Nothobranchius furzeri: one gene and its partners. The protein of the gene in region 2 interacts with the protein of the main gene of each other region in a pairwise test. Links are inferred from orthologs where the notes say so. Each region holds a gene or a part of one and is shown on either strand. Other genes may lie near its edges. The genes, in order: rrp7a, tfip11 and txlna.

Evidence for each region.
Region 1: the proteins of tfip11 (region 2) and rrp7a interact in binary tests that used the Homo sapiens proteins (3 or more experiments, as listed by UniProt). The link is inferred for Nothobranchius furzeri from reciprocal best matches to the Homo sapiens genes TFIP11 and RRP7A.
Region 3: the proteins of tfip11 (region 2) and txlna interact in binary tests that used the Homo sapiens proteins (3 or more experiments, as listed by UniProt). The two-hybrid records come from large-scale screens. The link is inferred for Nothobranchius furzeri from reciprocal best matches to the Homo sapiens genes TFIP11 and TXLNA.

Annotation. Positions count from the first base shown.
Region 1 is NC_091752.1:66,979,005-66,982,837, reverse strand, and holds the start of rrp7a (ribosomal RNA-processing protein 7 homolog A), read left to right. Parts: upstream 1-1,371; 5' UTR 1,372-1,869; coding exon 1,870-1,933; intron 1,934-2,024; coding exon 2,025-2,167; intron 2,168-2,245; coding exon 2,246-2,371; intron 2,372-2,457; coding exon 2,458-2,581; intron 2,582-3,833. UniProt on the Homo sapiens protein: Nucleolar protein that is involved in ribosomal RNA (rRNA) processing. Also plays a role in primary cilia resorption, and cell cycle progression in neurogenesis and neocortex development.
Region 2 is NC_091757.1:45,000,468-45,004,067, reverse strand, and holds the start of tfip11 (tuftelin-interacting protein 11), read left to right. Parts: upstream 1-988; 5' UTR 989-1,098; exon of another isoform or gene 1,099-1,116; intron 1,117-1,536; 5' UTR 1,537-1,538; coding exon 1,539-1,744; intron 1,745-1,833; coding exon 1,834-1,999; intron 2,000-2,089; coding exon 2,090-2,246; intron 2,247-2,354; coding exon 2,355-2,482; intron 2,483-2,598; coding exon 2,599-2,760; intron 2,761-2,919; coding exon 2,920-3,111; intron 3,112-3,250; coding exon 3,251-3,430; intron 3,431-3,540; coding exon 3,541-3,600. Other genes in the region: srrd (SRR1-like protein), read right to left, coding at 1-149, 216-256, 487-698. UniProt on the Homo sapiens protein: Involved in pre-mRNA splicing, specifically in spliceosome disassembly during late-stage splicing events. Intron turnover seems to proceed through reactions in two lariat-intron associated complexes termed Intron Large (IL) and Intron Small (IS).
Region 3 is NC_091751.1:3,237,561-3,240,387, forward strand, and holds the end of txlna (alpha-taxilin), read left to right. Parts: intron 1-2; coding exon 3-122; intron 123-207; coding exon 208-282; intron 283-355; coding exon 356-448; intron 449-530; coding exon 531-626; intron 627-1,361; coding exon 1,362-1,691; 3' UTR 1,692-2,277; downstream 2,278-2,827. UniProt on the Homo sapiens protein: May be involved in intracellular vesicle traffic and potentially in calcium-dependent exocytosis in neuroendocrine cells.

The DNA of each region.
Region 1 (3,833 bases), on a different chromosome or scaffold from region 2:
ATTTTATTTTATTTTAATTTTTTCTCATTTGTGACTCAAACGCTCACAATTCACCCCCAAAAGAAGTCTTTTGGCTATAACACAGAAAAAATGATTTAAATTGTTTATTTTTTATAATGTTGATTTTTTTTCGACAAAACATGGCGCTAAAGGGGTTAAACCTTATAAACACACAAAGTTTGGAGGGGACTGAAGCTATAGATGGGATTTGGGTAAAAATGTGACATTTGAAATAATATATAATTTTATTAAACCTTTAGCCAAAATGCATTTTTTTGCGAGGGTCCCCAGTGTAGTAGCTCTTTTTAAGGAACCTCCAAGGGTTAAAGTCCAACTTCAAATGACTTGATCTGTTCAATGCACCTGTTAAGACCCTTCTGGTGATGTCAGGCTGATTACATCATCAAAGACCATTCCAGATCAAGACCCAAGAAAAACTGGAGGGGGTAAAAGTCACGTGGTATGCGCAGCAGCAGCGTCATTTCCGTTGTTTACGGAACACCCAGTTTTATCATCCATACAAGTGAGTTTCTGTGGAGGATCACAGGGAGAAAGTTAATAAACATCCAACCCCAGGGTTTGTTTGGTTATTTCTGCAAACAGATGCCTTATTATCACAGACCTGATTTATAAACAAGGTTTTAAACAACAGTCATTGCTTATGAATGCCCTTTACTGATCTGAGATCATGTGAAACACCACTGTCAGAAAGCTTAAAGCCTCTGTCTTCTCCCCATCCGGTCTGTTCATGGGTTCCTGAATGGGGCTAAAAGAGCTATTTTCTAATCTGCTTTGCCTTACGCCCTGGATCTCACATATGTTACTTCTATTTAAATGAAAAGTAATGATGGGTGTTTCGACCACGCCAGTCATGTACTTTGAGATTTATCACCTTGTAAAAGTTCGTAATTAGCACGTCCACAAAGCGGACGTCGTTATGTCGCATATATGACATCACCACATAATCTCCTCTTCCCTAGCTTAGCTGCTACTTACCACGTGCATGGCCAGATGGTCTTTCCTCCTGAAGGAAGAATTTAGAGTTTGCTGAACCTACAGCCATTTTTCTTCTGGTTTTCATTGTGTCTCGTTCGGTGACGTCACTTGTGGTGATGCGCATTTGTAGTTCTGGACTTATTTTCACAAAAAACCTAAAATAATGAATAACCCACCCCCCACCCCACGTTCGAAAATAAGACCTTGCTTTGCATCAAAATGTGTCTTTAAAATTCACGGACATCATATGTGAAATCCATGGCACATAACAAGCGGTATTAGAAAATAGCAATTTTAGCGTCTTTGACTTTTAATTTTTACGTTCTTCTGGGGACCCATGAGCCGACCGGAAAGGAAGAAGACTTGCAGCGTCTCCGCCATATTGGGTGGGTTCTCCACTCTCCAAACCCAACTATGTCCATTTTTGTGCAACCTATGGTGGCAAGGTGCAAACCAGAGACTGTAGAAAGAGGCACACAAAAAAAAAACACACATTACAGAAAACACATGGGATTGCCCACCTAGTGAGACTTTTTTTAAATGTACTTAAATTTTTGTATTTTTTTAATTATATTTTTATTAAGGGACCTACACCACGTGCCATTTTTGTGGAAAAAGCATAATGAAATTTTTTTTTAGTTGGGTAAGTACCTTTCTCAGTAGAATACTTTGGGGGCGACCCATCAAAGATGGCGGCTGTGGCGATGACTGTTGTTTCACAATAAAAGTATTTAGAGAATCTTCATTACACATGAATGCGCTTGTATTTTTTCTAGGATAGCATGAAAACAAATTCAAATAAACAATGTCAACAATAAAATATAATAAATCACAGACGGTATCACTTCCGGTTCAGACAAAGGTCGTACCAAAATGGCGGCGTCCGGGAAAAAACATGTCCGTAACACGGCATGTGTCATTCCTGGTGGTTTTACTGGTATTTATCATCTGTATCTGTTATATAAGTCCCATATTTACCGGCTCGTTTAGGTAGGAACCATTTGCTCACGTGTTCGATCTGTTTTCAGTTCTTTCCCTCCAGTTCAGCCCCGACAGTCCAGCTCAACACAGCGTGTTCGTGAAGGAGCATAAAGTCCGAGCTGAGAGGAGTTCTGGCAGACCGTTGGACCGGACCTTGTTTGTGCTGAACGTCCCTCCGTACTGTTCCAGGGTGGGAGCCGGAGCCCGGTCCGTTGGGAGCGGTAACTGGGTTCTTGTCAGCCATGCTTAGTTCTTGTTTCTGTTTCAGGAGGTCGTCAGGGAACTGTTCTCCATCTTTGGCAACGTTAGCTCAGTAGAGCTGAGAGACCATCCTGGTTCCTCTGAGGGTTCCGAACCCAAACTGTCCAGGTTCTTCAGACCAGCTGAGAAACAGGTTCTCCTTCATCCCACTCCTCTTGTTATTTTTAATCTTTCCTTCAGAATCCTCAGCGCACTGAGTCCTCTGTCTGTTTCTCTTAGGGGTTTAAAGTCGGTTACATTGTGTTTGAGAAGTCTGCGAGTGTAGCAGCAGCGAAGTCCCATCCTCGCCACGTTCCTCTGGTGGTCAGCACAGATCAGCGTCCAGTGAAAACAGGAGTTCAGAGTGAGTCACTCCCCTTCTTTAGTCACCCCTCAGGGTTTTATGTAAAAAGTTCTGCTGATTTAGGAGACTGCAAACACATTCCCGACCTGCAAAACCCAGAAAAATGTCCAAGTTTAGGGACTTGGACATTTTCTTCAAAAGTGATTAAATGTCATGTTTAATTTGTCTACTAGATTGAACCTTAGCTCCCTAACAAAATAACACCTCATTTGTCAAAATCCACCCAGCCAATGCAGATATTAAACCTCTAACAACCCAAATTAACGCCCATTTGTTTCAATTGGAAATCCATTAAAACCTGTGATCAAATTTTGATTAGCTGTCTAGTTCATCTACGGATAGCCAGAGTGGCCAAATGACCTCAAACATATTGTAAGGGTTTGAATAGTAAACTATAGGCTAAACGTTTTATTTTGAAGGCGAGCTCAACGGGTGTTAACAGACTGCTGTACCAGTGTTTCTAAAGCTTAGACTGGTAGAAAATAGGCACTAAGGTTAAAGTCTGACAGGAATCAATACATTTTCATGCATTTAATCTACTGATTTATGTTTATACTTTCTCAAGAGAGCTTGAAGTGAGTTAACTTGTAAAAATTTTACAGGAGGAAAAATATCGAGCTATATATCGTACAACGCAATTCAGCAAAAAGATATCGAGATATAAGTTTTGGTCCATGTCGCCCAGCCCTAGAAAAACGCTTCTGAAAGAGGCATCGCCTGGAGGACCGAGAGAGCGGCACTGAGGCAGTGATAGACCACACCCCCCTCAACCCCCTCGCTTGTGCCGCTGGAGTTTCTAAATCTAAAAACGAGTTTTTAACGAGCGCGTGCACGCGCTCACACAAGACTTACCGCTCAGGAGAAAAGCAGACACAGATTCTGCAGAATTCTGGGGGACTTCCTGTTAAACCCGATCATTAGATGAAAAGGGGAGGAGGGCTTTTTTTCAAGGAGGCAAGCGGGTTCGAGCACCAGTGTGTCAATTCGGCAAGTGAGCGGCTGAGCCAGGTGGAGGAGCGGCTGCCTCACCTGGAGACCGGTGCGGTGCAGCCACGTTTTTCAGCGTAGCCATCAGCCACAGCTGGCTCTACGTGAATGTGGAGCAGAGTTTTAACCTGAAGATGGAGATAGAATTATGGTTTTGGGCTGAAATATTAAATTTAAAGAAAGCAGCACTAAACTGCAACACTAATGATTACACGTGTGTGCAGCACCATTAGACACTCAACTATACAGGTTATCAAAAGTGAAT
Region 2 (3,600 bases):
AAGTTGGTAGCGAGCGGCTACACATGAAGAAAAAGACCCAAGACCATAACAAACACACATCAGTGTTTCTTCTGGGGCTTTTTCCAGCTGATTTTCAGTGTCACTGTCCCCTGGAGGTTTTAGGGATGCTGCTGCTGCCTGGAAATTCTCTGAAGAGAAGATGATCCACTAAATAACTAAGCTTAACTCAACCTACATATCTACAACAAACTCACCATTCCAGTCTTTCCAAAAATCTTCGTACTTTAGTTCAAACCTAAGAAGGAAAGATATAAGCAAACCAATAACTTATGGGAAGATGTATGATTTCACCTATTATGCAAGATAAATATTGTTACTCATATATATATATATATATATATATATATATATATATATATATATATATATATGTATATATATATATATATATATATATATATATATATATATATATATATACATACATACATACATACATACATGTGTGTGTGCGTAACTTCTTACATGTTGTCTCTGATTCTTCTGATGAGTTTTCCAACATCCAGTTGCTCCTGATGGCATGATGGTGAGTTTAGAGGAACTTGATGAGATTTAAATTGCCTACATACACCTTTTCGACGCCGAGCTACCTGCCATTCATCGGATATGTACGACATTTGTGTGAATTGCCAGATGTAATTTACATAAGTACATACATTTCCAAACGTAAGTATCATAAAAACATGGAACTCAAAACCAAATTTAGCATTTTGAGAGCTGAAAGCTAAAAATGGAAACGCAGATGACCTATTCAAGTGCAACACATTGTTCTGTTTCCGGTGTGATTTCCGTCTAGTTAAAAGTCACGTAAATTCAACAGATTTGCTGTTGTTCGATTGTTTTTATTTTTAAAAAAAATATTGACCGCTTTATAAAAATGTATGTGTTGAATGGTTGGTTTTAATTAAGCTGCTTTTAAAATATTAATGAAATTATTTGTAGTGTACATTAATTGAAGTGACACGGCTAAACCGGAAGAACTTGCTTTTGACAAAAATATATCATTCGTCAACAGTTCGTGTCTCTGCAGTTCGTCTTATTACCACATAAGATATGTGTTTTTGATCTCAGACCAAGGTTGTAATTAATATTTTAGTAAGTTAACTTAAACGAAATCGTCGTTTTTTATCACTACTAACATGTTGTGTGTATTTACATTAATGCTACAGAACGTGCGTTATTGCTAGTAATTAGCCTTCGCTCCGTTTTCTTCTAAGCAGATTTGTATAGTTTTATAATCGATGTTTCACGTTTAGTCTTATTTGTGTATTCATCGTTATTGATTGTAAACCTTTTTGTCATTATTAATTTATCGTTAGTTAAACCACAAACGTTGACTTCATACCTGACTTAGTTATCGCATTTTATTTCCCTCTTCTTTGCCTTTAATAAACTAGATATGCATCTTTTTCCTGATTTTGAAGTCACAATGTTTCTTTCCTGGAAAATAAATGCACGTGTAATTTTAGGATTCGGTCACATTTCATTAAGATCTATATTGTTTATAACTTGCAGAGATGTCAATGTCCCACCTTTACGGGCGGAGGGAGGAGGAAGAGGAAGGTGTGGAGGTGGAGAGTTTTGAGATTACTGACTGGGATTTAGCCAATGAGTTCAACCCAGACCGTCGCAAATTCAGGCAGAGCAAGGAGCAGGCCACATATGGCATCTGGGCCGAGAAGGATTCTGATGAAGATGAAAGGCCCAGCTTTGGTGGCAAGAAGTATAAATGGCTTGCTTTTGACACAAATTCCAATTCTGAAACAATTTCTAACCAAATGTTCTAATAAAATATTTATGATTTCTTTTTAGATCCAAAGACTACACTGTACCTGTGAGCTTTGTGAGTGGTGGTTTGCGTAAGAGTGCTGCTGAAGAGAAAGAGCGGGAAAAAGAAGGCAGCTCTGACGACTCTGATGATGATACTTCTGCAAAACTCCCCCCTTCACGCGTGACTGCACCCAAAAAACTCCAGATGGTAATTTTTAAATGTGCGCACATTGTGATGTCCATTGTTTGTAGAAGAAAATAGTGAAAATAATGATGTTGGGAAAAAATGTTTTTCTAGGGTAATTTCTGTGGAAATCAGTCTAAGAGGTTTGCAGGTGGAATACAGTCTGGACAAGGAATTGGTAACTGGGAGAAACACACCAAAGGAATTGGACAGAAACTTCTGCAGAAGATGGGTTACCAGCCAGGGAAAGGCTTGGGGAAGAATGCTCAAGGTGTGTTTAGTTGACTTAGATTGTTCTTTTAAAAATGTTGTAAAATGTTTTGTTTTTTACATGGATGTGGTGGAATTGAAACACTTGTAATGTACTTTCTCTCTGTAGGTATCATAAACCCCATTGAGGCAAAGATCCGTAAGGGAAAAGGAGCGGTTGGTGCTTATGGCAATGAAAGAACCCAGCAGAGTCTTCAGGACTTTCCTGTAGTTGACTCAGAGGAAGAAGAGGAGAAGGTAAAGTACTGAGAAAAAAAATTGTCTTTACAATGTTGTTTTTATTTTTGTGTTTGATTTTATTGATCAAATGAGTCTATAGAGTCATTGTGGTAATTTTCTATATCTTTATATAGGAATTTCAGAAGGAACTTGGCCAGTGGCGTAAGGATCCAGCTGGGCCTGCAGGAAAAAAGAAGCCCAAGTACTCTTACAGAACAGCAGATGAGTTGAAGGCTAAAGGTAAAATAGTGAGTCGGAGCACATCTGCAACTGCAGGAGAGCTGGCACAGGTCAAGGTATGTTTATGTTTCACTTGTGTGCTGTTTGTTTTTTATGTTGGCATGGCTGCATAGGTGCAAAATTGAGGATTCAGTGTTTTATTAAGCATCAGTAATTTAAGTACATTTTGGCTACATTCATAGTACTTATTTATCCTGACATTTCCCTTGGTCTAGGTAATAGATATGACTGGAAGAGAGCAGAAGGTATACTACAGTTATAGTCAGATGTCTCACAAACACAGTGTTCCCGATGAAGCTCCACCAAGCTTGGCTTCACAGGATCAAAAGGTATCTGGCTTTGCTCTCCCCGAACTTGAGCATAATCTGCAGCTTCTGATAGACCTGACAGAACAAAACATATTACAGGTAAGAGGAAACCAAGAATTATTTACAACATATTTAGCTACAAGAATAGGATATTAATAAGTCAGCAACCTGAGAAAAATGTGAAGAACTTGTAATCTCTACTAAAGCGTTCTTTCTTTTTTTTGTGCATCTTTTGTAGTCTGCCAGACGTTTGCAGCATGAAAAAGACGTGGTTGTTTCTCTGAGCCATGAGTCAAAAGCTTTGCAGAGCAGACTGGAGTCAGAGCAAGAATCCATCCGAAGAATGGAAGCTGTCTTAGCATTAGTGGAGCGTTTTCCTTCTGAAGAGACGGCACCGGGAGAGGGCCCGACCCTACAGGTTTGTGTTACAAACACTGACTGGAGCCGGTCTGCAAGCTGTTCAAATTAAGGAGTTCCAGCTTTATATTTCATAATTGTGAAGCTGATTTGTAGTGCTTGTCTCTTCAGGAGTGTGCCCAGATCTTTGAGACATTACAAACCGATTATTATGAGGAATACAAGATGATG
Region 3 (2,827 bases), on a different chromosome or scaffold from region 2:
AGCACATAGACAAGATGGTGAAGCACAAAGACCTGCAGCAACAGCTGGTGGATGCCAAACTGCATCAGGCGCAGGAGCTGCTGAAGGAGTCGGAGGAGCGCCACGACAGAGAGAAAGACTTTGTGAGTTTCTGTTTGTATGGTTCTGCGTCTGATGTCTCTGGTAGTTTCGCATAAGACTAACATCCAGTTTGTTGTAACTCTTTAGCTTCTGAAGGAAGCTGTGGAGTCTCAGAGGATGTGTGAGCTAATGAAGCAGCAGGAGGTCCACCTCAAACAGCAGGTCTCTCTTAAGCTCACTCTTCAGAGTCTCTGCAAAGCAGCTGTCGTCTCACTTCTGCTGTTTTACCTCCCAGCTGTCTCTGTACACCGAGAGGTTTGAGGAGTTCCAGACCACGCTGTCTAAGAGTAACGAGGTCTTCACCACCTTCAAACAGGAGATGGAGAAGGTGGGTGGTTGTGAGGAGAACGTGGATAATTCTGTTGGGTCTACCTGCTCAAACAGGAGCCGTGCTTGCTTTGGGTTCACAGATGACTAAAAAGATTAAGAAGCTGGAGAAGGAGACGACGATGTATCGCTCGAGGTGGGAGAGCAGCAACAAGGCGCTGCTGGAGATGGCTGAGGAGGTAAAGCAGCTCCTGGAGTTTGGATTTGGTTCTCACAGATCTAGAGTGTTCAGAGTAAGGTCGGGCCACTTTGCCGACAGGGTTGGGCGTGTGACGTCATGACACACGGACTGATTTGCGAACCCAGTAGAAGACCGAAACAGATTTTTTTTATGGACACGCGCAGCACGTGTGTTTGCTGGAAGATAATTTTATATTTTTCTTTTTGTTTAACTTTGTATTTGTAGTTTGGTAGAGACGTATAAACGGCCCGTAATAAACACGGTTAAATGTTCAACAGAAGCCTTGCCTTTGCTTCCCTGCGGTGCCCACTGTTGTGGTTTTCATTTAAGCTAAATGTTTCCGTCGGAACAAGAACTTGTGGGGTTCTTTCTTTAGTAAGTAGGGATAAGATCACACCTCAGACAGCTGCGCTTCTCTTCATGCCAATGATGTGCGTTAAACAAGGATCTGACCACGACTGTAGACTCCGTGAAGGCTTTTGCCATCTTCACCCTTTCCTTAACCATTTGGTTGACATGGCAACAATAGGTCAGGGGTCACTGCATGATCACCCACTGCTGTTCCCAGCTGTTTAGATTCAGTTCCACTTTGTTGGAAAACTTTGAGACTTTAGTAGCTGGTTATTTAAAAAGCCACAGCTGTTGACCACGCATCACGACGTTCTGACGCTAGCGCCTTCCGAACTGTTGTTTCACGTGTGATTGAGTCCCAAGCTTCTGTTTCTATTCCCAGAAATCTGTGCGAGATCGGGACTTCGACGCGTTGCAGGGTAAAGTCCAGCGGCTCGAGAAGCTGAGGCGGGCACTTAAGGTGGAGCGAAACGAGCTAAAGAAGAAGGTCCAGAACCTCGGTGGGGCCGCAGGACCCCACACCTCTGACCCAGGGACTGACTCCCCCTCCCCGCCTCCCACGGACTGTCCGCTGGAGGCCAGCACCTGTCCTGTACCAGACAGCTCCTCTGACTCCCCACCTTGCCACTGTGAGCCACAGCTGGACACAGTTGCACTCCCAGAAGAGGCAAACTCCCCACCTGTCCCTGTTCTTGTCCCTGCACAGGAATAAAGCAGGACTGCTTCGTCTCCTCCTCCCTTTCAACGTCCAACCACCAGCCTACAGGCCGCTGGAGCAGCTGATGTTCAACGCTGAGCTGGAATCAGATTTACACCAGATGAGTCCAACAGAAGGGTTAACGTGTGTCCTCCCAGCGTCATCTGCAGACGGGCTTCCTTCACCCCATCCTCTCCAGCTGAAACTAAGCTAGTTCAGATCATTTTATTACAATAACTAGAGTTGTTGCTGAAGGCTTTACTGAGCTGTGTGGGAGGACACCACCTAAGCAGGTTTACCACAGGTGTGTGTGTGTGTGTGTGTGTGTCTTAAGTGTTGTTTTCTTCCATCTCTACCATTCCTTCCTTTAAGTAAGAGCTGTGTGGGACTGTTGAGGGAAGCTTTTCAGTCCAGCCTTTTATCCTTTTTTTATTATGATTTTTTTTGGCAGAGTAAATCCTGGATTATTAAAGAACGTTTTAGAACTAAAACGTTTGAACTCTTATTCATTTGTGTAGTGTTTAAATGTGAGTCTGTATTTATTGTTGAAATCATACAGTCACTGATATCGGGGGTTAAAATAAAGGATATTTTCATTTAAGCTGATCATTTTCATTCATTTTACTCCAAATTTGTCATCCTTACCTCTCCTGGGTTATGTTGCACATTACCAGTTTAGTTATTAGTATTAGCACTTTTATCTCATTTAACTCCATCTTTGTTCCGTGTGTGTGTGGGATGTACCTGTTTATATCTGTGATGGTCCTGGGAACGGCAAAGGCTTCTGGTCAGGTTTATTCTAAAGAATGTCAAAGTTCCTCTATGCAACGCTTGCATCTTGGTTTTATTCTGTGGCCTCGACCCACGAGCACTTAGCTGAGAATGTAATCTCATCATATCCACTGTTCTGCATAAATGTGTCGGGGACGACATATCTCACAGTTTAAGGCCTTTTTCTTCCAAGGGGTTGATACTTTTACATTGGGTGCTTTTGAAATGTGCATTGATCTGAGCCAAGTGAGAAAACTGAGAGGAGAAGTCTAATTTGATTTGGTTTCCTCCAAACACACGCCTGTTTCCCCTGTGCACTACATATGTAGTTTCGACAAAGCAATGCCATCCGAAACAGAAATGCAAATGTTTTTCAGTCT